Saccharomyces cerevisiae S288C: one gene and its partners. The gene in region 1 interacts genetically with each later gene. Each region holds a gene or a part of one and is shown in the gene's direction. Other genes may lie near its edges.

Evidence for each region.
Region 2: mutations in ATG42 (region 1) and YPS6 together harm fitness more than expected from each alone (negative genetic interaction), as found in Saccharomyces cerevisiae (one large-scale study listed by BioGRID).
Region 3: mutations in ATG42 (region 1) and MRI1 together harm fitness more than expected from each alone (negative genetic interaction), as found in Saccharomyces cerevisiae (one large-scale study listed by BioGRID).
Region 4: mutations in ATG42 (region 1) and HEH2 together harm fitness more than expected from each alone (negative genetic interaction), as found in Saccharomyces cerevisiae (one large-scale study listed by BioGRID).

Annotation. Positions count from the first base shown.
Region 1 is NC_001134.8:512,197-520,170, forward strand, and holds ATG42 (carboxypeptidase C), read left to right. Parts: upstream 1-3,467; coding exon 3,468-4,994; downstream 4,995-7,974. Other genes in the region: protein kinase MEC1, read left to right, coding at 1-578; YBR137W (uncharacterized protein), read left to right, coding at 848-1,387; YBR138C (uncharacterized protein), read right to left, coding at 1,566-3,140; GTPase-activating protein IRA1, read right to left, coding at 5,154-7,974. UniProt on the Saccharomyces cerevisiae protein: Vacuolar serine-type carboxypeptidase involved in vacuolar zymogen activation, breakdown of the autophagic body, and autophagosome-dependent protein synthesis.
Region 2 is NC_001141.2:428,032-436,126, reverse strand, and holds YPS6 (aspartyl protease), read left to right. Parts: upstream 1-4,015; coding exon 4,016-5,629; downstream 5,630-8,095. Other genes in the region: YIR042C (uncharacterized protein), read left to right, coding at 144-854; seripauperin PAU15, read right to left, coding at 1,824-2,198.
Region 3 is NC_001148.4:763,969-771,692, forward strand, and holds MRI1 (S-methyl-5-thioribose-1-phosphate isomerase MRI1), read left to right. Parts: upstream 1-3,783; coding exon 3,784-5,019; downstream 5,020-7,724. Other genes in the region: HOB2 (Hob2p), read left to right, coding at 1-3,526; B-type cyclin CLB2, read left to right, coding at 7,685-7,724. UniProt on the Saccharomyces cerevisiae protein: Catalyzes the interconversion of methylthioribose-1-phosphate (MTR-1-P) into methylthioribulose-1-phosphate (MTRu-1-P).
Region 4 is NC_001136.10:1,377,346-1,385,574, reverse strand, and holds HEH2 (Heh2p), read left to right. Parts: upstream 1-3,528; coding exon 3,529-5,520; downstream 5,521-8,229. Other genes in the region: CMI8 (Cmi8p), read left to right, coding at 1-51; MFA1 (mating pheromone a), read right to left, coding at 289-399; TFIIH/NER complex subunit TFB3, read right to left, coding at 799-1,764; palmitoyltransferase PFA5, read left to right, coding at 2,132-3,256; E3 ubiquitin-protein ligase TOM1, read right to left, coding at 5,979-8,229.

The DNA of each region.
Region 1 (7,974 bases):
AGGTAGATAAATTTCCTCCAATCTTGTACCAATGGTTTTTAGAAAACTTTCCTGATCCAATCAATTGGTTCAACGCCAGGAATACGTATGCCAGATCTTACGCCGTCATGGCAATGGTTGGCCATATATTAGGTCTAGGTGATAGGCACTGTGAAAACATATTACTAGATATACAGACGGGTAAAGTTCTTCATGTAGACTTCGACTGTTTATTTGAGAAAGGCAAAAGGTTACCTGTCCCAGAAATTGTTCCCTTCAGACTAACACCAAATTTATTGGATGCGTTGGGCATAATTGGGACAGAAGGAACATTTAAGAAGTCTAGTGAAGTCACGTTGGCTTTAATGAGAAAAAATGAAGTAGCGTTGATGAATGTGATCGAAACAATTATGTACGATAGAAACATGGACCACTCAATTCAAAAAGCGCTAAAGGTCTTAAGAAACAAAATCCGCGGTATAGATCCGCAGGATGGCCTGGTATTGAGTGTTGCTGGCCAAACAGAAACATTGATCCAAGAAGCAACATCAGAAGACAATCTAAGCAAGATGTATATTGGTTGGCTTCCATTTTGGTAACGACTTTCCACCATTTTCGGCAACAGACGAACTTCCTCTTGATCTAACCATCACTGCAGGTGCTTTTCTCCGGCGGAGTTAATAGATACTTATCCCCGCTTCATGTCATACTATCTCTCTTAACAGGGATGTTGACACCATATAAGTTAACATAACATATACGTACGTAATAATATTAAGGACTATCTCGCATTTCAAAAGAGAAACAACCTAATCAAGCCTTATTATAAGAGCAAATTATTCAAAAAAAGTCTACGGAGAAAATTATTATGGTGGTTTTAGACAAGAAGTTATTGGAAAGATTGACTTCTCGTAAGGTTCCCTTAGAAGAGCTCGAAGATATGGAAAAACGATGCTTTTTGTCTACTTTTACATATCAAGATGCCTTTGATTTGGGGACTTACATAAGAAATGCAGTTAAAGAAAATTTCCCCGAAAAACCAGTTGCAATTGATATCTCCTTACCAAATGGGCATTGCTTGTTTCGCACAGTGACCTACGGTGGCAGTGCATTGGACAATGATTTTTGGATCCAGAGAAAGAAGAAGACAGCGCTTCGATTTGGTCATTCAAGTTTCTATATGGGCTGCAAGAAAGGTGACAAAACACCGGAGGAAAAGTTTTTTGTGGACTCAAAAGAATACGCTTTCCATGGAGGTGCTGTCCTAATACAATCGGAGAGAAGTGACTACCCCTATGCCTGCTTAACTATAAGTGGATTGAAGCAGGAAGAAGACCATTTAATGGCAGTCAGCTCTTTAATTGCATTTGCTAATGAAAGTCTAGAAGAAGATTTGAATTTGGATTGAGAATGTAGGTAGAAGTAAAATAGAGGCTTGAACACCATAGAATATTTTTTACCCGTTACTAGTATAACTGTTATTTAGTCGTAAGCTTTTCATATATATATTGATTGTTTTGCCCTTGAAAAAATACACAGCACCAATGCAGTCCTGTTTGTTTTAGTGATCTCTTAGCAATGTATTTTCAAGGTTGAAAATTTAAACGATCACTATTTTGATTGCGTAAGAAATGCGGAAGTAAACCATTTATTCTCCACTTCCACTTCAATTTTCTTCTTGCTTCCAAAAACCAATTCATTGATTTAGAGCCCATTGCATCTTTATTAAAATGATGTTTGATTGACTTATCATTTTCTAGCAATTGCAACTGCAATCGTTCTATTAGTTCCTTAGAGAAGCTGTCCTTTTTTTTTGATATTTCCTTTTTAAGGTCGATCTTGTTATCTTCTATGTGCCTATTTATTTTTTTTGGAACATCTGTCGATAAATGAAACGGTTCTGCTGAATTCTCTAGATCACTAAAAGTACCGCTGCTTAGATTTGATTCATCCATAGATGATTCGAACTCGCAGTTCTCAAAGATTTTAGCGGCTTCTTCATATCTAACTGTGCATTGCTCACATACAATTTCTTTATAGTATCCTGAATTTAAAAGTCTCGAGCTAATTTCATATAGGGCCTTTTCGCAGATGACACATTTCCTCAGTTGGGAATGAACATTTAATTCCGATAGATAAAGATCATCGTAACTTTTATTGGAAGATGGAATATTAACCAAGTTAACCACCATATTTTCAATGGAATTTGGTATGGAAATATCACTTATTTCAATTTCCTCTTTGATAAAATCTAAGGGGTTGTTACTTTCGTCCCTATTTTCTTCAGTATTCCTTAATATATGGGGTATCAGTGTTAGTGAATTCGGTTCAAAGCTATTTCTATTGGTTTCCTTATTAATTTCAGAATATGAATTTTTTACTCTCAGCGGGATATGATTATCTCTTCTTTTACTTAGTTTTGATTTCAAATCTGAAATAGATACCATTTTTTTTGTTGATTTACTTTGGGTATACGGTATGTAGTCTTCAACCAGGACTAGCGGTGGTATATCCTGAGAAGTATTTTCTGTTAGCTCGTAGTTTTTTGTATCTAAACTCGGCCCATAACTGACGTACCTATTACGTTTGTTGTTATGCACTCGCAGTTCATTTACAGGATTCAACCTGGGCCGTTTTTTATTGTTGTTGTATTCGTTGTTTCCACTGTCATCTTCATTAGTTTCGATATTGCATGGAGGCGCAATTGGCAAAGACGTAAAGCTCTTGTCATCAATTAGATCTAATTTGGAAACAGATTGGTACAATTTGGATGGAATTTTAGGCTTGGCACCTATCAATTGTGAGCGACGCTTTCTTACATTCAATAACTGTTGGTTCTGATTTTCACTTTGACTATTGCCTTGGTATGGAGAATTTCTCTGCAATGGTTTTGCCTGCTTCGAAGGAGTGCTGTTACTATCGAAGATAAATTCCTTCTTTTCAAATTGCCATTGTAACATGGAGTTATTCTCTATATCCTGGACGACTGGAGGAGTCAAGGGCCTGGAAAGTACGGATCCTGTAGAAATATCACTGGCAATTATACTGAGTTTATTGTTGGTGTTGCTATTCATATTTGAGCTGGTATTGGACGAAAGCAAGGATAATGAGTTTGTGTCTACTGACTCCAACACCCTAGGCTGGATTTGATCTTTCTCCATCCTTTAATTTTAACCTTTTAATTAGTGGTTGGATCAAGTTTTCGAGACTATTCCAATCTGTGACTTGTTGGATAAATAGTTTTTGACTCGTTTAGTATAATCCTTTTTTCTAAAAGTGCTTAGAGTTCTCTAAGATGTTCTTGTTTACAATGTGAGCGATTTAGGAAATTTCCTAAAAATGGCCGAGGCGGCGCTAGCATTCTACGAAAGGTGAGATAACGCTTCGTTATCGAAAAATGTCAGGGGACAGGGGTTATATAAGAACGAAAATTGTCATCCTGCATTTTTTCTTTAAAACAGCTATACAAAAAGTGATACCGACATACAATGAAGTATCTAAACTTAGTTTTCGTGCTTCAGCTTCTTATTAGCATCAAATACGCCTCATTCGGCCGAGCCTTTTCTCTTTTTGAAGATGATACCACCTTTGCCAATTTGGATAAACAGCTAAAGCTTCCACAGAATACACAGCAAACCCTTAAATTGGACCGTTTGAATCACGATGATCCGCTGTTTACAACTTTTATTTCTTCTGTGGACACAGATTACAGTTTGAGACTTAGAACAGTAGATCCTTCTAAACTAGGAATTGACACCGTAAAACAATGGTCGGGTTACATGGACTATAAGGATTCCAAACACTTTTTTTACTGGTTTTTTGAAAGTAGGAACGATCCTGCTAACGACCCAATTATTCTTTGGTTAAATGGTGGACCTGGTTGTTCCTCGTTTACTGGGTTGCTATTTGAACTAGGCCCCTCATCAATTGGCGCCGATATGAAACCAATCCACAATCCCTATTCTTGGAATAATAACGCTTCAATGATCTTCTTAGAACAGCCACTCGGAGTCGGCTTTTCCTATGGTGATGAAAAAGTCTCCTCTACAAAATTAGCAGGCAAAGATGCGTACATTTTCCTGGAATTGTTTTTTGAAGCTTTTCCTCATTTACGCTCCAACGATTTCCACATTGCAGGCGAATCCTATGCAGGACATTATATCCCTCAAATTGCACATGAGATCGTTGTCAAGAACCCTGAAAGAACGTTCAATTTAACTTCAGTTATGATTGGTAATGGTATCACAGACCCTTTGATTCAAGCAGATTATTATGAACCAATGGCATGCGGGAAAGGGGGCTATCACCCTGTTCTCTCATCAGAAGAATGTGAGAAAATGAGTAAAGCTGCAGGTCGTTGTCGTAGGTTGAACAAGTTATGTTATGCTTCTAAATCAAGTTTACCATGCATAGTCGCCACTGCTTACTGTGACTCTGCACTTTTGGAACCGTACATTAACACAGGACTCAACGTCTATGACATTAGAGGGCCCTGTGAAGATAATAGTACTGATGGTATGTGTTATACAGGTCTCCGCTATGTCGACCAGTATATGAATTTTCCTGAAGTTCAAGAAACGCTAGGGTCCGACGTGCATAATTATTCTGGCTGTGATAATGACGTGTTCACCGGATTTTTGTTTACGGGCGATGGAAGTAAACCATTTCAACAATATATTGCTGAATTATTAAATCACAACATTCCGGTATTAATATATGCGGGTGATAAGGATTATATTTGTAATTGGCTGGGAAACCATGCTTGGTCCAATGAGTTGGAATGGATCAATAAACGTAGGTATCAGAGAAGGATGTTAAGACCATGGGTCAGTAAAGAAACAGGTGAAGAGTTGGGACAAGTCAAGAACTATGGCCCTTTCACCTTTTTGAGAATATACGATGCCGGTCATATGGTGCCCTATGATCAACCGGAGGCAAGTTTGGAAATGGTCAACAGTTGGATTTCCGGTAATCGTGCTTTTTCGGATCTTTCCACCTTGGAAAATGCTAGTTAGTAGTGCTCTAAAAATGTTTCACTCTTAACCTTGCAATCATTATACTTTACACAAATCTCTACGTTTCATTTAATTTAAAATCTACAATCCAACAAATATAAAACAAAATATAATTATAAGGAAAAACGTATATAATCACTGCAATACTCTAATTTAAAATTAGGAGCACGACATTCTTGCCAGTATCATTGTTGCTAATCTTTTTCTCTCATAAATTGCCACTTGATGTTCACCCTCTCCTTTTAACTTTTCTATATGTTCCTGATCAAAAATATCCAGAGGCTTCACAACTGACAAGCCTCTCTTTTTTAAAAGTTCGACCATTTCATCATTAAATTCCTCTAGGTAATTAAACTCACTGTGTGTAACAAGCATCCCAATCAATTCAAAAGAGACAGCAACCGCTTCAGATGATTGTTCTAGGGTTGATAACCTCCTGAATTCCTTTCTAGTCAGCGTATAGAACCTGAATACACAAATAGGGTTGACTTTGAGCAAATACCTCATCAATAGAGCAAAACGGAATTTACATGGTTCGTCTGACATAACACAGCTAAACAAAAGTGCTCCTTGGTATAAGACTATATTAGATTTATCTGAGTCTGAACTTAGCCAGTTGATCAAAGTAAGTGGCACTTTTAGTGTATTATTTAAAGGTACCAGTTCATCTTCGAAGCCGACTTCAAGTAACAAGGTAGAAAGTTGTTCAGGACTTAAGACCAAATGGAGTAAGAAAAGGTAACAAAGATAATCGGAGGATTTTGGGTTGGACTTTCTTTCGTAATATGTATTCTTGAAAAGGGCCTGTAGACAATCTAATGCGGCTCCTTTTACGACAGGAATGGATAAACCGTTTGCAATGAAACCTAAAATAATATGAGGAAAATTATCTTCGTTCCATATGCATCCATTGTATGACTCTAACTTAGCCAAAAGCGTAGCAGCAAAATTTCTAGATTCCATTAATTTTTTGGCTAGCGATTTGCCATCGAATCCAAGTTGAAGATGGACCGTGTACAGTCGCTTCAAACAATTTACCATGAACAGGAGACCACCTTCAAAGAGTAAAGGATGAGGGGATTCAACACATATTGTAGCAAGCCAAAATAGCTCTTTCATTAATTCTGAAGAAGGATCTAACCCTTCGACAATTTTGCTGTAAGTAAAGACATGAGCTATAATGATGAACATTTGTTCATCATCCACAACTGGCTCTGCGAAGACCTTCATGGTTTCAACTAAAAGTTCTTTACAAAGGAAAAGGGACGTGTGCGACTTACTCATTATACCTAGAATCATCATAGCTCTCGCAGAGAAGAACGACCGATGGCCAAAAATCGCATCCATCAAATATTTCTTATATTTTGCCTCCCATTGTGCACCCTCTGAAATAGAACCATATTCCATCAATAGCATAATGTTTTTAGTGAAGAGATCTAATGTTCCGAATTTACTGGAGAAGGAGGAAGCGGCAAAATTTGGTAAAACTCTACCTTTTTCTTGGCTAAAACCGGAGATAAAGTTCAACTTTTGACGTGCGAATGTTGCACAGACGATATCCAAATTTTTCCTATTCCTTTCAGGTAAGGACTCATTGTTGGTTAAAGAATGACAAACATTCATCAACAACTCGTACAATGAGACTCTTATTTCCGAAGGACCGACATCAATTAACAGAGACACAGCGAAAAGAATCTCCGGTAAATACATCTGGGAAAGTAAGGGTGATTCAAAGAAAATTGACACACTAATTTTTGATAAAATAGTAAGCTCAGACCAACTGTGTGCGGAAGCCTCAACTGCTAGAGAAGGTAGAAAAGATTTGATCATATTTATTAGCTTCTCTATTACCTGACAAGCAATCTCTGTCGTTGGAAAACTGGTTAGTATTGACACAGCTTTCATCCAGTCTCTGTTTTCTGAATCTCTATCCAGCGCATGACTTACTATTTCTTCAACTATCACGTTCGTGAGACGACCATCCAATGCCAGTAAAAACCAAATCTGTTGAAGGTAAGCTGTCGTGAAATTTGGCTCTTTGACCGTCAACCTGATTAAGCTATAGATTATACGTGAAATCGCCTCTGGTCCCTCTTCGTCATTTGCCAAATATACATGTTCATATAAGTTTGGTACCCAGTATGACAATGAACAGACAACCGTAGGAATATGTTCTTGAGGAATCACGTCGTTTTCAAGGCCATCCAGCATATATTTCCATATATATGGAGTTAGTTCCGTTGAAGATTCTGAAAAAGCCTTGAAAATTAGGGCCAAGAACGTGGTGGTATCATCGGGTACATATGTCTCTGGGGATTTGTGAAGCCTTGTCCCAAAATCTAAATTAAATGCTTCTTGCGTTGCCACGAGAAGGTTGTATGATATGTTTTTGACGAGATCATCCTCATTGAATAAACCTACAAGGATCACCAATGACAAATGTGATATAATTTCACCAACTTCTTTAACATTGCAGTAAGAAGCATTAACTGCTGAAGAGGATGTTGAAAATGAAATATCGTTCGAAAAATCCGTACCAAAGTCTTCTTCCATCTTTAACTGGGCATAATAAAACATTTTCACAATTTCTAGGTACTTCGGACTGCAAAATACCAACTTTTCTTCATTATCAAGACTTAACGTAAATTCCGAGGAAACGCCTGTGGTGTTAGAGACATCGACTGAAATTAAATTTGATATCTTGTAAACATTGTTGAATTTGATGCTGAATGTCCTGTTTGATACGGTAACCTTGTACAACTGCGGAATCTCATGTAAAACTTGGAAGTATTTGTTTCCTATCTTCAAGGACACGGGACAAAACTTCTTTTTTTCCTTGTCATAAAGGGTAATATCATGCAAAGTAACTCTTACATCTTTCAAAACTTCCAAACTCCTACCACTCAATCCTAAGGACTTTATCAAACTTTGGTCAGTATTGCTGTTGATGAAACAACGGGGAATTGTAGTGACCAAGTAC
Region 2 (8,095 bases), on another chromosome or scaffold:
TGAGCCATTCTTCAAAGGTTGATAGGAGGTTGATAAGAGGTTGATAAACAATCAACAATGATATAAAAATAGCATGGGAGGACGCCTTGCAAGAATTTTCCCGCCTCTGAACCTGGAAATAATGCCCTTCAGTAGAAACAATTATGGCGAATTTAAATATATTTGGGCAAGAAGTTGGTGCTGACGTCGAAGGTTGGACAACAAGGGCCTTCCCAGAGAAAGTTGTATTGAAAGGTAACACTTGCAGACTAGAACCTCTAGATAGAGAAAGACATGGTTCGGAACTTTTTAGTGCCTATAGTGAGGCAGGCCAAAAATTATGGACGTATTTACCTGCGGGACCATTCACTAACTTGGAGGAATATCTAGAATTCATTAAGGAACTCAATGAAACTAAAGATACTGTGCCTTTCGCAATTATTAATAAAGAGACTGAACGTGCCGTTGGTACATTGTGCTTAATAAGAATCGATGAAGCCAACGGTTCACTAGAAGTTGGATATGTTGTTTTTTCACCAGAATTACAGAAGACGATTATTGCAACTGAAGCTCAATTTCTGTTAATGAAGTATGTATTTGATGATCTTCAATACAGGAGATATGAGTGGAAGTGTGATAGTTTAAATGGGCCGTCAAGGAGGGCAGCGATGCGCTTAGGCTTTAAGTATGAAGGCACGTTTCGACAAGTGGTGGTATATAAGGGTCGCACTCGCGACACTCAATGGTTTTCAATAATCGATAAAGAATGGTTACGCATTCGTAAAACCTTTGAAGAATGGTTAGACAAAACAAATTTTGAAAATGGCAAACAAAAGAGAGGAATAGCAGCAATAAGAGAAAGCTTGTCAAACTGAAAACTCGCCCTCTCTTTCATGCAGGACATATGTATATATAGCATTTTTTGGTTACCATACTGTAGACTAGGATTTTTTTGCAGTCATGTGAATTTTCCGACTTCACCTTCAACAAAGAAAAATCGCATTTACAATGACTAAGACTTCACGCATTTGCGCTGATCTCCTTTAAGCTTGAATGACATTGAAATGTTACGTCGATACCGATAATATTTTGGGCTCTCGGTTTTGATTTAAACCAGGAAGCGTAGCTCTCACCTTACTAAGGCTCACATCATGTCATTTATAGTGTCATTTTGGCCCTAACTATATTCCACCTTTCTTCCATATAATAGTTTCAACCTTAACCTCAAAATGTATCATTTAATTTTTCTCATACTCTATCATATTTGTTATATAAACGTACAAAGATTGTAATGTTAACTATGCTAAAGTACAATTATTCACAGCATACTACACCGCGCTACGGTTCGTTACCAACCCTCACTAAACCCATAACGAAAGTGGGTTATCTTTACTATTTTAAACTATATTTTCCTTTTCTTTTCAGTATCCTCCTTACCGTACTAGCACATTTTTCTTATATGTCTTTTTATTTTCCCATCGTTGAATATATTCAAGTATCCGTTCTGGTTCTACAGTATTTAATATTCACGGGTCAAGACAAGAGCAACTCTACTGCTGTAACAGGTGAATAGCTTGAACGGATTCTGATCTACGAATCCTGTTGTAAAACTGGCCTATTCCGTACAGCTCACATAAAAAAACCCCTAGTTGTGAGAAAGATAAAAGAGCAACTATGCGTTCCCTATTATATTGACGCCCAGCCGGTAGTTCGTGAAAGCAAATGAATTTATAATATTAATATATGTTTATATGTAATCAGCTGTATTTATATTGAAAGCATTTTTTATTTCATTTTTTCGTTACTTTCAATGTCTATGGAATCTCATTCGTAAAGGCATGTCTCTATTTTGGAATAGCAGTGTAAATACCGTCCTTAGATAGAGCACTGGAGATAGCTGGTCTCAATCTGGTAGAGTACCATGGAACACCAGTGATAACTCTGGTGACTTGTTCAGCTGGAATACCAGTCAACATGGTGGTGAAGTCACCATAGTTGAAAACAGCTTCAGCAATTTCAACTGGGTAGGTCTCACTTGGATGAGCTGCTTGAAACAAGTAGTATTGGGCCAAATGAGCTCTGATATCGGAGACGTAAACACCCAATTCGACCAAGTTAACTCTTTCGTCAGATGGAGATAGAGTGGTAGTGGCTGGGGCAGCGGCAACACCAGCAGCGATGGCGGCGACACCAGCAGCGATTGAAGTTAATTTGACCATTATATTTGTTTTGTTTTTTAGTGCTGATATAAGCTTAACAGGAAAGAAAGGAATAAAAACATATTCTCAAAGACATACAGTTGAAGCAGCTCTATTTATACCCATGCCTTCATCAGTCATCACTACTTAAACGATTCGTTAACAGGTGCTCATTTAGCACCTCACATATCCTCCATATCTCATCTTTCACACAATCTCATTATCTCTATGGAGATGACCTTGTTTCTGAACGAATCATACATCTTTCATAGACTTCGTATGTGGAGTATTGTTTTATGGCACTCATGTGTATTCGTATGCGCAGAATGTGGGAATGCCAATTATAGGGTGCCGAGGTGCCTTATAAAACCCTTTTCTGTGCCTGTGACATTTCCTTTTTCGGTCAAAAAGAATATCCGAATTTTAGATTTGGACCCTCGTACAGAAGCTTATTGTCTAAGCCCATATTCAGTCTGCTCTAAACGGCTTCCATGCAAGAAATATTTCTATCTCTTGAATTCGTACAACATTAAACGTGTGTTGGGAGTCGTATACTGTTAGGGTCTGCAAATATGTAAACTCTCGGCGAAGGCCTTGGTGCAATTACGTAATTGTAGCCGCTGAGAGGCGGATGGTATTGAGAGAAGTTGATATTCAAAGAATTGATTATGATAAAAAAAAAAAATTGTAACCAATCCGTAAATACTGAAACTCTTTGCAGTAAGAAATCTTTCATCCCCAGAGAGAACGCGGAAATATTCAGCCTAAGTCTCTCCAAATTGATTTCTTTCATTTTGGTAGCGAAAGACTTAGTATCAACCTCAAAAAGTTGAAATTTTTGTAGATATATGTGCGGATGACATGAAGTATCCAGCTCCTTTGTGAATATGGAAGCAAGTTTCTTTCAAATTATTATCGACTTTTCCTCTGCCCCTTTTACCTTATAACTTTAGGAAACACTACCCTATCCATACTCAACTAAAAAAGTAGTACGTTTTCTTCTTTGAGAGGTATGGTGCAAACCAGTGCAATCTGATTCCAGATTGCCCTCACGTGAGGCTTCAGTAAATCTCGATCCCTCTACATATTACATTATCTCCTACTTGGCAAAATAGATGTGGCTTTAGTTGATGAAAATTTACCACGTCAACTATTTATGTCCTTTCTACAATAAACCCCGACCTACTATCCTCTATGTTGTTTTTAACATACCATACGAGCGTCATATGTCTTTTGGTTCACTGGGGAAGACCATCACTGTTGAACGTTTGTTGAAAAGTTCGAGATGATGAAGATTGCATAACAAAATGTAAAGTTATTTTTAGAAACTATAACGGTTCAAGACATTCAACACTATAACATAGCTTGGCTGGCTTGAACATAAAGAGGAAGAAGCAAAAGCAAGAGTAAAAAGCTTCTCATTTATTTCTGGCATTGTTGATCACCCAGTGCAAGCCCAATTTCGCCTGTGCTTTTCTTAAATTGTTTCTGACAACACCGAGGTTTTCGCTGCAGAAAAGGAACATATGGTGGTAATTTGTATAAGGGGTTAAGGGTCCAAAAATTTGCTACCCTGTCGCTCACTACAGCAAAATATCTCGAGATATCCGAGGAGTTAAAACTGACTAGACCTGTTGCGTAAACCTCATGCAAGCAGTACTCTTCGAGGATTTAAGCTTTGGAACTGCTTTCAAAGTTGAGAGTATATAAGGTGTTATGATCTTGGAATAGGGTTTTTCATCGTTCTTCCTTGTTCTCTTTTTTCATTGGTTGATCAGTTGTTAAATTTTGTCTCTTTCGAAAATAAGGATATTTGAAGACAACGCAAAGCTATCAATATGCAATTGATTTCCATCCTCTCTTTGTTGTCATCATTGATGTGTTCATTGACCGTTTTAGGGTCTTCCGCAAGTTCCTATGTTAAGTTTCCTGTTCAAAAGTTGGCTGATATTATAAATATATGCACACAGGATGTTTCTACCGTCTTCAAAAGAAATGAGGTTCTTAACACCACAGTGATAAATGGAATAGGAGTGTATGTTGTCAAGATGGAAATCGGAACGCCTCCACAAACGTTGTACCTACAGTTAGATACTGGCTCTTCAGATATGATTGTGAATAATGCTGACATTGCCTATTGCAAATCGATGTCTGACGGATCTGACTACGCTTCAACTGATAATTACGAGCTCACAGCAACGTTCAATGGGCTTCCTTCGACTACCATCTCATCAGAAGCTTATAACACTCTCTGCTCTTATTGGGGTACATTCGATGCAAGCAACTCATCTACTTTTGAGAATAATGCGACGTTTTTCAATAACACATACGGAGATGGTACGTATTATGCAGGGACTTATGGTACGGATGTTGTCTCTTTCGAAAATATTACTCTAAATGATTTCACTTTTGGTGTATCAAATGATACAATAGGCAATCCAAGTGGCATTTTAGGCATATCGCTTCCCATTGCAGAATTTACAGATGGTATCGAATACGCATTGGCATTGAACAGAACACCTTTCATATATGATAACTTTCCAATGGAATTAAAAAATCAGGGAAAGATTAATAAAATAGCGTATTCTTTATTTTTGAATGGACCTGATGCACACTTCGGGAGCATCTTGTTTGGTGCAGTGGACAAAAGTAAGTACACAGGACAGCTTTACACCCTGCCTATGCTGCAGGCATTCAATACCCTTGGCTCAAATCCTGGGATGATTATTACTGCACAAAGTGTGGCAATTTTGGATAGTGAATCTGGCAATAAAACTGTTTCGGATATTCAATTTCCAGTGATGTTGGATTCTGGCACAACTTTCTCCTATTTACCCACCGAAATTGCAGAAGCAATCGGCAAAAGTTTTGACGGAGAGTACAGCTCTGACGACCAAGGCTACATCTTTGATTGTTCAAAAGTGAACGATACTTTACTGTCCGTCGACTTTGGAGGATTTAATATATCGGCAAACATATCCAATTTCGTAACATCAGCTAAGGATCGTTGCGTTTTAAATGTTAAGCAATCCGAGTCCACTTATATGCTGGGAGATGCTTTCCTTGTCGACGCATATGTAGTCTACGATTTAGAAAACTACGAAATTTCTATTGCTCAGGCTAGCTTTAATAATCAAGAAGAAGATATTGAGGTTATCTCCGATACTGTCCCAGGTGCCACCCCTGCTCCCGGATACTTTAGTACATGGGTATATAAGCCCGGTAGTCCCATCGGAACAGGAGATTTTATTAATGTCAGCTGGACCTCGTATTCGGAATTTTCACAGTACAAATCATTGCTTGCCACCGCAGCCCAAAGCGATGATGCTAGTTCTTTCTCAAGTAGTGGCGGCTCTAGCGAAAGCACCACTAAAAAACAAAATGCAGGTTACAAATACCGTTCTTCTTTCTCCTTTTCATTATTGTCCTTCATATCTTATTTTCTTTTATAAGTAGAGAAGAGATACATAGTTTCGCAGTGTGTTACTGTGTGGGACTGTATAGGTGAAGCCCTATATACTGTGTAAAAGGCGATGAAACTTTATTATGTTATATATCACTGCTTCATATAAAAATAAGAAACCTACAGCGTAATGATTATACATATGACGAAGACTGTTAACTGCAATAAAGATAGTAACGACCTTATAAGTGCACACTTTTTCCCCAGGGCCAACGCAATGGCGAATATTGTCAAATAAGCTAACAAGAAGAATAACACAGTGCTAAAAAGCAGTGAATGTTTCATCTTCTCCATCGCGGCTTCCTTATCTTACCATTTTTTCTTTACTTACCTTCCACTTTGCCGCCCAGCCCTGACTGTTTTTAAGTGCAGCTAAAAAAATCTATCTAATCACTCGCCACATATATCCTACATAATACGTCATACTCAATGCAAAGGTAGCTTGAGGTATTGTTCTATCAAGTCCACACTATGACGCAAAGAAACATCCGCATTTTCTAATTTAACGAAGTTAATTATATGTCTTTTTTTTTTAGATAACATCGGTTTGATTACCTGCCCCTACATCTTTTAGGTGAATCTTTTCTGCTAATAATCAATTATATGAACTATTAACATTCCTCTTGTTAAAACTACTTTTATAATAAAGTCTATGATTCATTATACTCAATTGAACTGTATAACGCTATAAATTGGTGTAAGAATCCAGGATTAGTGTTAGTAGTATGTAAGAGATACGCCACTCAAAATTTCTGGAAAATATATATATAATGGAAGTGCCCGCTATTTAGAGAGAAGCACAATTACTTTATCAATAGACGGTTAAAAAGAGGGCAACAATATATGTCTGTTTGAGAATATTGCATATCTCGCGAGCTGGACTGTGCTTTTTCCGCCAATATGTATTCCGTACAGATAATATTATTACCCTTACGAAAACATGGTACTGTAAGTTTGTTGTAACAGCGGCTGATATTATTCGTCATTTTGCTATTTCTTGTTTAGGTAATAAAGTTGTTGCCAAACCAGGTACAGTAAATCAAATGTTTGAATTAATTCAAAAAGGGGCGTTTTAGATAAAAAATATCACTCTAACTATCCGTTTATCAAGAATTTACTGATCTTTGACGTCGAAGAAGAGTTCGCTTTACCAGTGATATGAAGGATAAATGAACTTCAAACAGGAGGTATCATCAGTTAAAACTAACAAGTTTTCGGTGTGCCCAGATGATATGTGGCTGAAACAGTTTATAAAGAAACCACCGGTGCTCATGAATGATAAACATGTGAGATTTGATCTTGGCAGAAGCAGCTCTAGCAGCCCAATTTCTTTTAGCACTAAGAGTTTCTTTTTCCTTGACATTCTTCTTCTTACACAAGGTTTGACCGTATTGAGCTCAGAACCACTGTTTGAATAGAGTAGCATCAATTTGAATAGTGGCAACCTTGATCAAAGTCAGTTAGATGCGCTACTCTCGAGTTATTTTGTAATCTTTAATAATTTGCCGTTGTCTCTTACTATTTAAGGTATCGTGATGGGCGCTGGTACTGGATAACTCATACTCAATCATAGAGGTTTGAGAAAAAGATGGAAGGTTTTGAAAATATGATATTTTGACGAACTATGGAGGATTTGCATTCATTATTATTTCATTTTCACTCTCCAAAATAAAAAAATAGTAACAGTGGAAATTTTTTTGAGAATCCGCTTGATCGAAAGTACTCTTGGTATTATTGAGGCTTTTTCTTCTTCAATGGACTCAATGATACTGCACTAGCCCTGAAAAGTAAATAGGAGACGTAGCCAGAATGAAGAGGTGAGCAAATCCGGGCGTACATCAAAACAAAACTAAAAAAGTTCTTAATCCTCATTACAACCCGTTCAATTTTGTTAAAAGGCCTCTCCTACATTGTTATTATCGGTTGACGGTTTTATCAAGAACGTTTGGCATATACAGAGAACAGTATTTAGCGGCATAAAACACTCACAGCATTAAAGTATAAAATAAAAGCAAAATAAACAGAGTTATCCAGATATGAGATTGTCCTTCAAATTCTGTTGAAGATATTGCGTGAAAATGTGAAGAGAAATCTTAGGTAAGATGACCACTGCTGGTATGAATTTGGTAAGCCGATTCATTTCAAGAAATGAACAGCAAAATTTTCTTTCGAAAACACCAGACTTTTTGCCAAGAAAGTGGGAGCAAACTTATAGGTTCAATGATTCAGACGCCGCGTCACTGTAACGGCCTTCATTGAGTCTATTATGATGTTTAGGAGGACGTTGTAAATCATCTATTCGTGCACGAACGGTATAGGGGCGACAAAGGCTCTATGGCTGCCATTATCCTTTTCTTTGGCATCCAAAATGGGGCTCTCTTGTGTTTCTCTCCCCGTATTCAATCTATGAGATATCAATCGTTGTACGTTAAGAACTAAAGTTACTGTCATACAT
Region 3 (7,724 bases), on another chromosome or scaffold:
GTTCCTTCCAAATAGGCCACATTATGAAATACAGCTGATGAATCCAGATGGAGTCGCAGATTTGGATCACCATGATACATACAAAGGATTTAGAACATCTTTTATCCACATGTCATTTGGTGTCTATTCTTCTGAGCACGGATCCATAAATAGTCTCTATCTCGCACCTTACGCTTTAACACATTTCTTTAAGTGGTGGAATTTATTTCATACATATACATCTGGTCCTATTAGGCAAGGACGGTTATTTACGGATGTACTTCAAAACAAGACAAAGTTTGGTCGCTCATTATTTACAATAGCTTATCAGCTACATTTAAAACGGCTAATGGTTACGCATATTTATCGGCATATTACTACTCAATATGATCTTGAAAAAGACCGCAAAATAACTTTTACTGGATTGAAAGGGAGGTTTGATTCACTGAAAATTGATTTGCATCAAAAAAGAGTTAAACTGACCCATACGAACCAAAAATTAAATAAGTCAAAACCTGTATGGAAGTTTAAGATGTCTAGGGGTGAGATTGATTGTGCAGAAGCAGATATTAGGATATTATCAACTCTGTTTGATCAGGAAGCAGTTAAGGAAATTCTTACTTCTGGACTCGATGGCATACTTGAAGACGAGCCATCACGTCCTATTACGCCTCAAGATGTGGAATACTTGCGTGAATCAGATTGGTATGATTATGAGGATTATATAGACTTGAATCAAGTGCCGCTTGGTTCCTCACTTCCATTAAAATTAGAAGCAATACCATTGCTATACTCTCCTAGAATATCCTACTTTAGAAAAATAAATGATGATGGTTACGTACTAGCTTACCCATTTGGTACCGAAGAATCTCACAATTGTCTGATTGGCAAGAATCATCCAGAATTGACGCAGGAGAAATTAGCAACTGAAAGAAAACGAGAAATAGAAGAACAACTAAAATTATTACATATTACGTTAAGCGAATTGCAATCGAACAAAGGCGGAGGTTCGGTAAGTGGAAATTCGGAGCGCTATGCACGCGAATTAAAAGCAGAGGTAGCTGAATTAAACCACAGATTGCACACAGTCAACACCATCTTGAGCGATTTAAAAATCTCGGAGACTATTCCTGGAGGAAATACTGATGGTGATAGCTCCAGCTCACTCTCCGATACTGATGTAAATTTGGAAAATGCACCGCCAATTCAAAATAGAATATCGCTATTGAGGACCAATACCGTGGAGTCTTTTGTATCAATGAGAAAAGCCTCTACTATGCAGGTTGAGTCCACCTATGATAACCGTTTCATGGTCCATAATATCGAGTTAAAAATCGATAATAAAATCAGGCATCACCTTTTGGAATACGCTTCCAGTGCTTTCGAAAGGAAATCTATGAGGTTTGCTGTGACTTATAAATCCGTAACTATTTTAAAAGAATTACTGGGAAATGTGTTGACTGGGGTCAGAACATCTGTAGAAGATTATGGTTCAATACTTGAGGACGATTTAGCCAGTAATTCAGAATTTATTGAGCACTTTGAGAAACTCATCAGAGAAGTTCCGAGTGATGACTTTGATTATGTTGATAATTATCTTTTTAGACTAATCTCCCCTCAGGTTCAGATCAAATCGGACGTTGAAAGGAACGCAGCAGTTATTTTAGCTGCTAGGGATATAGAAATGGGAATAATTGATATAGTTCAAGTGTATGGAAAATCAGGAAAAAGAATTCCCGTTGACGTCGATACTATTGTTGAAACTCGCTATTCCGCTGTTTCAAAGGACATTCAGTTGTTTACATTGTTCAAAAAGGATTTAGAGGGTCCTGAAGGTAGATTTTTCCATAAAAATGGATATGGTTCCGACAAAGAGTCAGATATATGGCCCCCATGGATTCCTCTTGAAATGTGCTTTGACGGGTCTTTATTAGATAAGCATGTTTTTCTAAAACGGAGATCAATGTTTTTGACCTACGTCGCTCCCAATCCCCTATTTTTTAGTGCAAATGATACGTCTGCATTCTCTTATGATTCGAGATTTCGTATTGCATTTCCAGGATTGGTTCTGACCTCGGACTGTCAACAATACTGCGCTGTATATGCAATCGCAGAAGATTTACTTTCCTTTGGATCATCATTGGATGAAAAAGTTGAGAAACTTTCCAGGATATTATTTACTGATGAGGTCAGAAATAACCTGGAAAATCTTGATGTCTCTGTTGTCACAGCATTACAAGAAAGAATAAAGGAACTCTATTATACGCGAGCATACCTCAAACTTCACGAGCCAAGATTGTTTATGAAATCAGGACAAGAGCTAACCTTCGATATTCAAACTAGTACGTTGAAGTTGACGTTACTTATGACGGCAATCAAGAAAACTTACGACCGGATGGGGAGTGGTAATAGAGTAATACAGAAAAGATTGAGGTGGCAAGTTGGAACAGATGAATTGATATGGGAATTGTACGATGAGAGTAAAACTCCTTTCGTGACTATCGGATTGGGGCCCTCTACATTTATTCGTTCAGAAACTTCCGATGGCACTAATAGTAATAAAGTATCCATTTCTTCCTTACAATGTTTCAACCAGCAAGAAAATCCCGTTTACACTGAATTGCTGGCCCCCTTTTATGAAAATTCATCCTATAATAAGAACGCGCCAATGGTAGAAATTTTTTGGATCCTGGGGCCATCAGTTGGAGGTATTTCAGATCTGCAAGATTTGATTGTTTCTCTACAGCCATTGATTTTCAAGATGGATCACAAAACATCGGAAAAACTAATGAATTATCTATTTCCAAAGATAGAACAAACTTCCATAGAACCCAATTCTCCAGAACTTGTACCACGTTCTTCCACTAGTTCCTTCTTTTCATCGTCTCCAGTTTTACGGCACAGTCTTTCTAACGGTTCTTTATCTGTGTACGATGCGAAAGACGTTGACTCTTGGGACTTGCGTAGTATCCAGAGCAAAGAAGGTATCAAAAAGCATAAGGGTGATCATAGAAAATTGTCAGCATCACTTTTTGTGCAACCTGATTATAACATCAATGAAATGGTCAAAAGATCAGGGACATTTTTCAATGTAAAATCTATTATAATCCGAAAAACTCTAATGTCCGTGTGTTATAAGGGTTCACACAGCCTTTTGACCGATGTTAATAACCTGATTGTTAGAGTCCCTGTTTTAAAGTACCATAACAAACTGTGGTCGAGGGAAGAATTTTTTACTGCTTTGAAAAGAGACGTCGTAAGAATAGTTTTACAACATTTGGGAAATATTATTGGTAACAAATTTTTGCCTCATAAAAAAGAGAATAAGAAAAAAACTTCTATGGAAATACATCGATTACTAAGTCCAGATTCTCAAAATCGTGATAATTCACATATCCTTGAAGTCGAAGGGCATAATTCATTTTATAGCTCCACGCACTCTTCAGATATCAGATCAATAAACTCAGATGAAACGTATAATGAAAATGATGGAAATGGAGTAAAGCCATTTTACCCTGTTACGAGTGAGTTTTCAAAAAATAAATGAGGAAACACACACATGTGTCTAGCGTAAATATTCTTCAGTTATATAGTAATTGTATTATATACTAAAATGAAAATCAGTAAGATTTTTTTTTTACAGGCCTTCTTGGCGTTAGTTTTTCCGGTTTTTCACTTACTAAGATGAGATGATGGGGCGCACGGCCAAAGTATTCCCCATTCATCAATTTAGCATGCTAGAATAAAAAGATTAAGAGCAATATCTACGACCGACAAAGTGATCTATCAAACTGCTGACAAAAAATGTCGTTGGAAGCCATCGTCTTTGATAGATCGGAGCCAGAAAATGTTTCGGTAAAGGTACTTGATCAATTACTTTTACCATATACTACTAAATACGTTCCAATTCACACAATTGATGATGGGTACTCAGTCATCAAAAGTATGCAGGTGAGAGGTGCCCCGGCAATTGCAATTGTGGGTTCGTTATCTGTTTTGACTGAGGTACAATTAATAAAACACAACCCAACTTCTGATGTTGCTACGCTGTATTCTTTAGTTAACTGGGAATCTACAAAAACAGTGCTAAATAAGAGGCTAGATTTCCTTTTGAGTAGTAGACCCACAGCCGTTAATTTATCAAATTCTCTTGTAGAGATAAAGAACATACTGAAATCCTCAAGTGACCTAAAGGCTTTTGACGGTAGTTTATATAATTACGTCTGTGAATTGATAGATGAGGATTTGGCGAATAACATGAAAATGGGTGATAATGGAGCTAAGTATTTGATTGACGTGTTACAAAAGGACGGTTTCAAGGACGAATTTGCCGTTCTGACGATTTGTAATACTGGATCCTTAGCAACCTCTGGATATGGCACGGCTTTAGGTGTTATCCGTTCTTTGTGGAAGGATTCACTTGCTAAAACCGACAAGGCAGACTCGGGATTGGACAATGAAAAATGCCCGAGGATGGGCCATGTCTTCCCACTGGAAACTAGACCTTATAATCAAGGGTCAAGGCTAACAGCATACGAGCTAGTTTATGATAAGATTCCATCAACTTTAATTACTGATAGTTCCATCGCGTATAGAATTAGAACTAGTCCAATTCCAATCAAAGCAGCATTTGTTGGAGCTGATAGAATTGTTCGTAATGGGGATACAGCAAATAAAATTGGTACTTTACAACTTGCTGTAATTTGTAAGCAGTTCGGAATTAAGTTTTTTGTAGTAGCTCCCAAAACAACTATCGATAATGTAACCGAAACTGGCGATGACATTATTGTGGAAGAACGTAACCCTGAGGAATTCAAGGTTGTTACTGGTACAGTAATTAATCCTGAAAATGGTTCCTTGATATTGAATGAGTCAGGAGAGCCAATCACTGGAAAGGTCGGTATTGCCCCTCTTGAAATCAATGTCTGGAATCCAGCCTTCGACATTACTCCACATGAGCTTATTGACGGAATTATCACAGAAGAAGGTGTATTTACCAAAAATTCCAGTGGTGAATTTCAACTGGAAAGCCTTTTCTAGATATCATTCTAATTAGACTCTCGAAATAATTACTTTTGTACTGTAAAGGATAAAATTTCATATTGAGATGTAAGAATTATTTTTTTTTTTCATTCAATAAAAGGAACACATTAATGTATATTGTCAGAACCTTGTAAGTCCAAAACACTATAACCAACTGATACAATATGTATTGTCTTTGTTTCTGCATATTTGTAAAACGTGCAAAAAAGTAAAGAACTCCTCATAGGGGGCTCGAACCCCTGACATTTCGGTATCCTTGCTTAAGCAAATGCGCTTAAAAGCCGAACGCTCTACCAACTGAGCTAACAAGGATGAGTTCTTCGGAGCGTGTTGTATCTCAAAATGAGATATGTCAGTATGACAATACGTCATCCTGAACGTTCATAAAACACATATGAAACAACCTTATAACAAAACGAACAACATGAGACAAAACCCGTCCTTCCCTAGCTGAACTACCCAAAAGTATAAATGCCTGAACAATTAGTTTAGATCCGAGATTCCGCGTTTCCACCACTTAGTATGATTCATATTTTATATAGTATATAAGATAAGTAACATTCCGTGAATTAATCTGATAAACTGTTTTAACAACTGGTTACTTCCCTAAGACTGTTTATATTAGGATTGTCAAGACACTCCGGTATTACTCGAGCCCGTAATACAACAGAGCGTCCTTAATAAATATTTCTATAAATATTTGATGTTTACCTTCCGAAAAAGGTACATTGCCAACCTTATTTGATAAATGTGTAAACTAAGATAAGTGTTGAGATCGGATTTTGATAAAGGCATTTGTTTGGGGTGTATGAGTTGGGAAAAGAAACAACAATCATCTCTTGACCAGTTTTCCTACTACTAGTGTGTTATCATATAGCGTAAGAGTATGACATAGAGATTGAGAAACAGAAACTGAATCATAACGAACATCACAGAATTTACATTTCTACACAATTTTCAGAAAAAGTGGAGTGGTGATATATGCTTATTGTTCTACAAGTTCTCTTCATGCGTTTTTGTTTATCTATCTTATTGAATTATTATCTTCATGCATTTATACTTATTAAATTCGATGAACATTTCATATTATTTTTATATGCTTCATAATTCATGTTACTACGATCTATACAGAGTATTATCGTAATGTCTTACCTTTAGCTTGTCACTTAACACATGCACTGCATTTCGAAAAGATGCTTAAGCAAGTTTATCATAATTTGGGAGTGTTCGGTGAATTTATACAGAAAGCCCCTCCAACGTCTTATTGATAATGTATATTTAGTTCATTTACCAAAATACTATCAATTCATCAACCTCCAAGTGGTTTTGACTAAACAGCCCACAATTGACATATGTGACTGCTAAGCAGACCTTTCTTGAAGTAAATTTCAGGGAAACTAAGCTACGGCCTTTCCAAAATATGGGCAGGAACTGCTTAATCCTTTCCTTTTATTAGATAAGCACTTTAGTATTTTTGTTTTTCATGGCCTTATCCTACGTTATTGTCGTGAAAGAAATGGCAGAAATTTCTGTTGTACATAAATTACTAACTGCCTTACCTTGAAAACGGTTTTATTACAAAAATAGGGGTCAAGTGTTTTGTTATCCCTGTTGTTGTTGTTTTATAAGTCCTAATCTCGCTTGAATATCGCCCATATTCACACCCTGTTCTTGACCGTCTACTAAGGTGCCTTAGGGGGACTCAAACTTAAGATCGCCTTCTACGCGTTTTATGCTATGATCATTAGTGTTGATGCATCGGAAGTTTAAAAATTAAGTGCGAGTGCATTAGCACAGTGGAATTATTAGAATGACCACTACTCCTTCTAATCAAACACGCGGAAATAGCCGCCAAAAGACAGATTTTATTCCAAATGCGGGTAACTATTTGTATAATATGTTTACATATTGAGCCCGTTTAGGAAAGTGCAAGTTCAAGGCACTAATCAAAAAAGGAGATTTGTAAATATAGCGACCGAATCAGGAAAAGGTCAACAACGAAGTTCGCGATATGGATGAACTTCGGTGCCTGTCCCTCGAGGAAATAGCAAACTCGTTACAGCTAGCATCTCATAGCATGGGCATAGAGTTTCAGAAATTTTGCTCTTAATGGAAAATATAACCTCTTTGGGGAAAAGAGAAATAGATCCTTTCTCAAAAATTTAGAAAGGAAAAAAAATCAAAATATAATAAAATAGATTTTTTTTAGGTTAATTTTTTGCCAATTTAGCTAGACTTTTGAAAAGATCCAAAAATTTACTAAAATTGAATCTTTCTGGTATTAATTTTGTCCTATACCTCAAGAAGTAAAGTATTCTCGAATTGATACTTCTGAAAAGCGAAAGAAATATAGCTAAAGGATACTGGTTATTTATTCTTTCTTTTTTTCTTTCTTTTTGATTGAGCCAGTGTATAATAAAAACCTACTGCGAGCTATTCAATAAATTGACATAGAATATCTGTTGAAGCGGTTCTTTGATTGAGCATCTGTTTTCCTTTTGTATTTTTGTCCTTTTAGATTCTTTTAACGACATTGGAGAAATTTTAATCATTGTATAAAAACTTCATTCGCTCGTTTGTCAGAAGTTTTTTTATAACTTGCTATTTCCTTCCAAGAAGCCTTTTATTGATTACCCCCTCTCTCTCTTCATTGATCTTATAGATGTCCAACCCAATAGAAAACACAGAAAACTCACAGAATA
Region 4 (8,229 bases), on another chromosome or scaffold:
TCCCACAAGGGATATCCGGGTGCGAAGACCCTTACATATACTTCACGGTAGGTGGTAAGCGGTATATGTACATATACATATATATATATATATATATATATATGAGCGTGTGCATGGATGTACAACGATAACAAAAGCAGGTACAGGGTATCAAAATATTTTATATAATATAGTTACTTAGGATATTTATTATTAGGTCTAAAAAGAAATATTACGAACAAACATGATATATTGGTGTAGCGGAAAAGGAAGATAAAGGAGGGAGAACAACGTTTTTGTACGCAGAAACTAAGCAATAACACATGCTGGGTCCCAGAAGACACCTTTGATAATATAGTTGTCCTTCTTTTCACTGCTGGTCTTTTCTTTTGGAGCGGCGGTAGCGGTAGATGGTTGCATTTCTATTCGATGGCTTTGTACTTATTTTGGTTTTATCCGAGAAACAGTTACAGATCCCTCTCATTAATTCATTTCTGGCGGTTTATATATGAAGACTCTATTTCATTTTTTTACTTGATTTTCAGCAACCACTGAATCTGTATCTTTATCTCTACCATTTTAGGTTTCTTAACTGTTTTTTCTGATTACTGGGTTTCATTTAACATGTAAATTTCCTTTTTGGGTAATTACACACTCGTTTGTAACAAGAACAAAGAATAAAGGTATGGGCCAACCGTAGCAGTAGGTGCCTTTTTTCTGAACACTGAAACAGATCGTGAATGCATGTATATGCGTACATAGAAAATAAAAAGTAGTTGATTACATAGCTTATGCCACGTTGCACACTATCCTGATGTTTTAAAGCTCCTCGGATATAACACATCCTAAGCCCATAAATGCCTCTGTCAACACCCTTTCGTACGCATAATTAGTGTTGAACCCAGACGCAATAAATTCTTTCCTGTGCTCAAGATCTTTGATGAATGGGTCATTGTATACTGAACCTTTCAACGTAAACCTTGGGTGTGCTTCTCTATCACCGTTAAACGGCGTGAACGGTACAGCATCTTTGAGTCTCGAATTCTGTACGTTCACATTTGAATTGAAATATGGATTGTTTTTCAGAACTCTATTTAGTTCTTCCAATTTCCTTCTAGCGGACGATTTTTTCAATTTAACCGTATTTTTAACGCCTTCGATTGTTTCATTGATATCCTGGGTGGTCGTACTCAACCGGTTGACGATTTCTTTCTTTGTCCACTCTTTGTTCATTCTTTCCTCCTCTTCGATTTGTCTTTCCAACAGTCGCTTCTTCAATTTCATCTCCTTTTCGAATTTTTGTCTCTGTTCGAAACTTTCTATCTCTGTTCTGCTTCTCTCCAAGTTATTCATAATCAGTTGCTTGTTTAATTCCTCGTAGGTGCGTAGTTTCTCCTCGGTCTTAGCCACATCGATCCCGTGATCTAGTTTGTATATAATGTCTTCCACCTCTTCCAAATATTTGTTATATTCCACAAGGTCACCATTGAAGTCATCGATAGTTTTGTTGAACACATTGAACACTCTCTTCCTGATGTCAACTTCTTTCTCAACTTCCACATCATCGAATATTTGGGTCTTGAACTTATTCTTTCTAAGAATCTTGTCACACCCTTTATATGGACACTGGGCAGGACCGAGACTAAATATTCGATCAACACACGACTCACAGATCCTGTGATAGCATTCAGGATTCACCAAAAATTTCACATCCGGAGAAAGGTATCGATCTGTCTTACAGATCGGACACATGTCCTTGTTTTCCTCATACTCATCCATAAGCATTTTTCTTTCACTTATATTTACTTGTGTGCGGGGGCCCACTAATGCTGCAAATCCTAAGAGGAAACAAACTCAAATTTTAACAAGCAGTTCAGTTTCTTAGCTGATGATGAGTGCTGTCTTGTGCGTCTGTTCTGTTGTATACTCTCTTTAGTATTAGTGCTTAAGAACAAATTTACGAGCGAACGGCCCGATTTGGACCATTTAGTCGATTTTTTTTTCCACTATTTACGTTTTAAATAATAGTAGCATAAACACAGCACTCAAACAAAACAACTAATTAGGCGTATATCTGCCCGTTGTAATATTTTCAGAACCTAGCTAAGGTCCTTTCATCGCGACACGGCAGAAATTAAACCGTTGTATATGAATGGCTCTATCATGGAATATTCGAATCAGGCGCAGGTCATGGTTTAGATTCATCTTACCGATTATCGTGCTCGGTTTACTGTGCTACGGTACGTGGGCTTACTGCCATAAACTATGTTACGAGCAAGTCGACAAACGACTTCGTCAGAAATCAGTTTCGGTTGGTCTTATTTGTGCGGTATGCTTCCTAGACGTAGTCGTGATTTTCATATGGCTTCAAATAGTTATCTTGGTCGGTCCAGGTACCCAACCGCACGTAGCACCTTTTTTGATCCTTCCTATAGCCTCTGAAGAGAAGACTAGCAACACTTCTCAAAACACTTCAGTGGAATACGATGCTGTGGTTCCGCCTAAGTGTTATCAGTCTGATCCTCACGGATACCCAATATGGTGCAGTGAATGTCAAAGTCTGAAAATGGAACGAACGCATCATTCTTCAGAACTAGGCCACTGCATTCCTCGCTTTGATCATTACTGCATGTGGATAGGGACTGTTATTGGTAGAGACAATTATAGACTCTTTGTGCAGTTTGCTGCTTATTTTTCAACACTTTTACTTATCATGTGGGTGTCTATTTGCGTTTACATAAGAATTATTACTCAACACAATCATAATTATAGCCCCAATTTAAACGCAAATATAATTTCAACGTTAGTGTTTGCCATCCTTGGATGGTTATTAACCGCAAGTTTGTTGGCATCGAGTATTTTTTACATGAGTCAAAACAAGACGTCTTTGGAGGCTATCATAGATAGCAAAAGGAAAAAATTTGGAACAAGGAAGATATTTTGTTATTACTCGGAAGCAAACAAGTTGAGGTTTGTGGTAGAGTTCGATAGATCTGAATTTCACTCTTTCTGGGACAAAAAGTCAATCTTAGCTAATATAAAAGACTTTATGGGTTCTAACATACTTATGTGGATAATTCCTTTAGGCAAGCCCTATACATCTCGATGCAAATCTGATGGCAAAAGCGGTTCAAAAACAACGCTAGTGGAAATATTGGGTCCCTATGAAGAAACTCTTAGTGACTACACCATTCAGGCCATTGAGGACAAGATATCAAGAGGAGAATATCTGGCCACATTGCGGGCTTCTGGTGACGATAGTGATCCTGCTTACTAAATAGTATTAAATTTTTCAAGCAATTTATATTCTGGGACGAAACTCATGTTACAATCGGTATATGTTTCTATTATCTATTCATTTTAATATATTCTGTATGCGTAGGGGAAGGGATAGTATATACATTTTCTTGATCGTCCTTCCATAAATAGTAAGAGATAAGTTTGAAAAAAATAAAAAAGAAGAGAGATTTTAACAGCAAAGAAACGGTAGGATGAACTTTAACGGACATAATAGTAGAAAAGGAAGTTTCCTATCTTCACTAATCGACAATGGATCACAGAAACCTTGATCCGAAAACGCTGAAGGTCAGCCAATTGAGAAGAGTTTTGGTAGAAAATGATGTTGCGTTCCCTGCCAACGCTAGGAAGCCTGTCTTGGTGAAATTGTTTGAGGAGAAAGTGAGGCAACGTCTCCAATCTTCACCTGAGGCCTCAAAGGTTAGAACTAGCATTCAAAAGGTTGTGAAGTCTGGGGCAAAAAACGCAGATCGCAAAAAGACATTAAAGAGTAAAAAGCTTGAATCAAGTTCTAGTGAGAGTAAAACTGTCAAAGATGAAAATGTTGAAACTAACAAGAGGAAAAGGGAACAAATTAGTACGGATAATGAAGCGAAGATGCAAATACAGGAAGAGAAGTCTCCTAAAAAGAAAAGAAAGAAAAGATCTAGTAAGGCCAATAAACCACCAGAGTCTCCTCCACAATCTAAGTCAGATGGGAAAGCAACTTCTGCTGATTTAACTTCTGAACTGGAAACTGTAGAAGAACTTCATAAGAAAGATTCTTCGGATGACAAACCAAGGGTAAAAGAGCTTCCAAAACCAGAATTGCCGAATTTAAAAGTATCAAACGAATTTTTAGCTCAACTAAATAAAGAGTTAGCTAGTGCAGCTACGGAGAATTATGATCATTCTATAAAATCCACGGACTTATCGTCTATCAGAATCGAAACAGAAGAGCCTGTTGGTCCTTCAACTGGAGCAGAAACAAGAAATGAAAGTGAGGTGATGGAGAATATCAATTTGGAAGTCCAACCTGAGGTGAAGGAAGCAAAAGAAGAACTAACAAAAATATCAGAAACTTTTGATAATCAAGACGAAGAGGATACTAGTAGGTTATCGTCGAAAAAAAATATACGAAGTCCAAAAGGTCGCACCAGGCACTTCATTGCCAACAAAACTAAAAGAGGGATAGATATTATGAAACCGTTTATTGCACATCTCTTCATTTGGTTATGGAATGGTGCTATTTTCCTTTCAATAATATGTCCTATTCTTTTTGGTCTTTGGTATCGAGAACAGAGAATTCAAGTAGGATATTGCGGTCATGAAAAGCCCCTGAAATCTCTTGCAATCTCAGCTTTCCCTCAGACTGAAAGGGTAGATTCAGTGTTGCAAGCTTATCGACCAAATTGTCTCGAATGTCCTGAGCATGGAATATGTTCTTCTTTTATGAATGTTGAGTGTGAACCAGGCTATGAGCCTAAAAGTTCTATTTTAGAAACGTATGGTATTATTCCTTTTCCAAAATATTGTGCCAAAGATGAAAGTAAAGAAAAGGAGGTTGATGAACTGGTTTGGAAAGTAAATGAATATCTTAAAAAGAAGAATGCACAACATGAATGTGGTGAAGGAGAGAATCTCTTTGAGAGTGGTGAAACGGAAACCAAATTATATGATATATTCTCTCATTCTAGACCGTCATGGGAAAGTCAAAGGGAATTCAATGATCATTGGAAAAATGTGCTTGAAATATTAAAGAAAAAAGATGATATTATCTGGCTGCCATTAGATTTTGAAACTAATGGAAAAAGAGAGAAATCTAAATCTAATAACACTAACTATATTTATCGTTCAACTTCAAAAAAATGGGTTACGTTGCAATGTCATTTAGAAGGGGATATACAGGAGTATATAACGAAATATGGTGGTTCTTTATTTATCACCCTAGGCGTCCTTTTCCTTATCAAAAAAATACAATCGACACTTGACAATTACGTTCAAGGAGAGCAGATAATTGAGAAATTGGTAAAAGAGGCAATTGATAAATTGAAAGATGTAAAGAAGAACAAAGGTGAAGAACCTTTTCTGACAACAGTTCAACTAAGAGCTACTTTATTGAGCGACATACCAAATATAAAAGAACAGAATAATCTATGGGCTCAAACGAAAGAAAAAATCATGAAAGAGCAATCAGAGAATATAGAATTATATCTTCTTGAAGAAAATGGAGAGATCATGACATGTTGGGAATGGAAAGAATGATCGTATTTCCGTCTTCAAACCACTTTTTGTTACTTTTCTTTGTTTTGTTTTCGTATTTGAGTTTCTAATGTGATAAGTGACTTTTAATTTTGTAATTTGTTTTCACGGATATTTTTCTTAGGTAAGTGTATTCTATTAATCTTTATGTAAAATATTATAACCATTCGCTGTTTCAATATGGTTTTATAAGTGGAGTTTGTACTTTTTTTACATATCATTTACTGTATCTTACATCATACCTTTTTGAGAAACTTTGGAAGATATTGCTTGTCATAAAAAAAAAGGGCGAAATGCACATGAAATCTGTATTATGTTTCGTTAAGATTAAACGCATTTTTACAAATTAAAAAATCCTTCTGTTCCTCTTCCTTGGGCAAGTGTTGTATGGTTAAAGGTTTAAATAAAAGACGTTCTAAAATACTTGGTTACATGGCGCTATAAATTTACACGAAAAATGATCAGGCAAGACCAAACCCTTCATGCCCTTCATTGATTGCCAATAATAGTGAACCACGCAATGTCTCATATGATTCATAAGGAGGTAAATTCAGTTGATTGAAACAGGTATGTGATGATGGTAGTCTTTCTGATGAACCAAAATCACGATGGATGGAAAATTTACAAACACCGTTGACACCGCTTAGTTCCTTAAACCCATTTAGAGGAACTTTACTAGTACCGGTAACAAACTGCAACAACTTGGCACGTTCTTCAGCGTCGAAGGATCTAACTGCCCTCCAAAAATAACTCACTTCCTTACAGGTTGCGGTGTAATTAACATAAGTAGTATTGTTTTTCCAGTCGTCGACATCAATATCAGGCAAACCGCTGATTAATAACTCCAATTCCTGCTCATCAAATATTGTAATGAGATCTTTGGATATAAGGGCATAGAAACCCACTAAAAAGTTATCCATTTGTTCCTTAACAGATGTCTGAAGTTTATATTCGACAACCTTTTTCACATAATCCTGTTTATTGGCCTCTGTAACTATTATATCCTTGCCCCCCTCAATCAAATTGATAACTTTATGTTCACCATAATCATCAGTTTCAACAGAAAAAGTTTCCTCTATAATATCTGTGATATCGTTTTCAAGAATCCACACCAATGATTTATAATAATCTGGATCAAGAGACTCCATATCCTTCAATGATACAGGCCTACCCAAAATATTCTTGTATACTTCACGACTAAAATGGCAATCCAAAAAGCATTGGTCTCTAATTGCTTTCCCTATAATCATCCCGATAAATTTAAAGAAAGAAAGGTGCTCAGGGTTGATACCTGATGTCCGATTAGGATGGAAAGTAGTTTTATCCGATGGTACAGGAAGAAAAAGAGCATAATCAGGGTTGAACATCTGTCTCGATAGTACTTGGTACCATTCTCTGGTTACCCCACCGGCATCGACACCACTTTCTCCTTTGAATGTTATCTCTAATTTAGAATTCTTGATTTCATCGTTTGTCTTGAAAAATAAGGCTCGATAAGAGTCCAAGAAAACCTGCTCACGGCGAACGGTAATAGGTAATTTAGGACGCTCTTGATTATCAGACTTCAATTTGGCATTGAAGAAATATCTTTTGTTGTCAAAATCCAAAACTTTTGGATTCTTGACCAATAATGCGAAAGGACCACTCATCAGTTTTGGATTTGAACGAATCATTTGATTCAACAACTTCTTGTGTGCGTCTGTAAATGGGAAAAATAAGTTTTCGACACGTGTTTTGGAAAAATCCAATAATTTAGCATCTTCATATTTGACTGCAGTGTTTCTATTTTGACTTAAGTCACTACGCCTGCATACAACCATAAGTGATTCGATCAACGGAAGTAAGATTGTGGCTGAAGTGTTGATGGCTTGACTCTTTTCAAATTGAGATAAGCACTCACTCAATGAGGACCACACTGGTCCGCCGTTCATCTTATCATATAAAGATTGAAGGTCTTTAACGTTGCGCTCTTCCTCTTTTCTTTTGTGAGTGTAAAGAAAATCAACCGTAGTTAAAATTTTCAATAATTTAGCTTGATCAGAACTTGGAAGGGTAAATTTCTGTAACAGCTCTGAATTGATCTCCATTCCGGTGGTGATAGTGCCTACTTCACGTGATAGCCCATCGAGAGCACTCTTTAATTTACTCATTATGCTGATAGCTAAAGATACCAAATGTTTCGTGAAAATGGACATACAGCCTTGTAATTTAGAGAGGTTGTAAATTATATTAAGTGTTTGTTGAAATACTCTTGTAGTACAACTATCAAGCATAATGATGGATAAAATTTTCATGAGATCATCCTCATCAAAACTAGGTAAATGAAACTTTTTGCTTAAATTTTCTTTACCATTTGAACTTGTAGAAAGGACAGCCAATGTTTTAGTACAAACTTGTAATATTCTTGTTAACAAATCCATCAATACGCTTTCGTCTGTAATGAGCTTTCTATCTAAAAGTGAGAATAAATGCCATAAAGGCCATCTTAATTTTTTGTCAGGTAAGGCTTCTTTCCTAGATTTGTTATTAGCTTTGTTCACTATCAGGTTGTCATGTTCTGCAATCAGGAAGTATTTTAGCCTAGAATCCGCGTCAATTAGACTTTGCAAAATTTCGATAGTTTGATTAGCCACTGTTAGCGGGGTACAATCTGATGGTAACTGTCTAACGGTCGTGGTTTTTGCGTGCCCCATTGCCCTGCTGGAAATAATG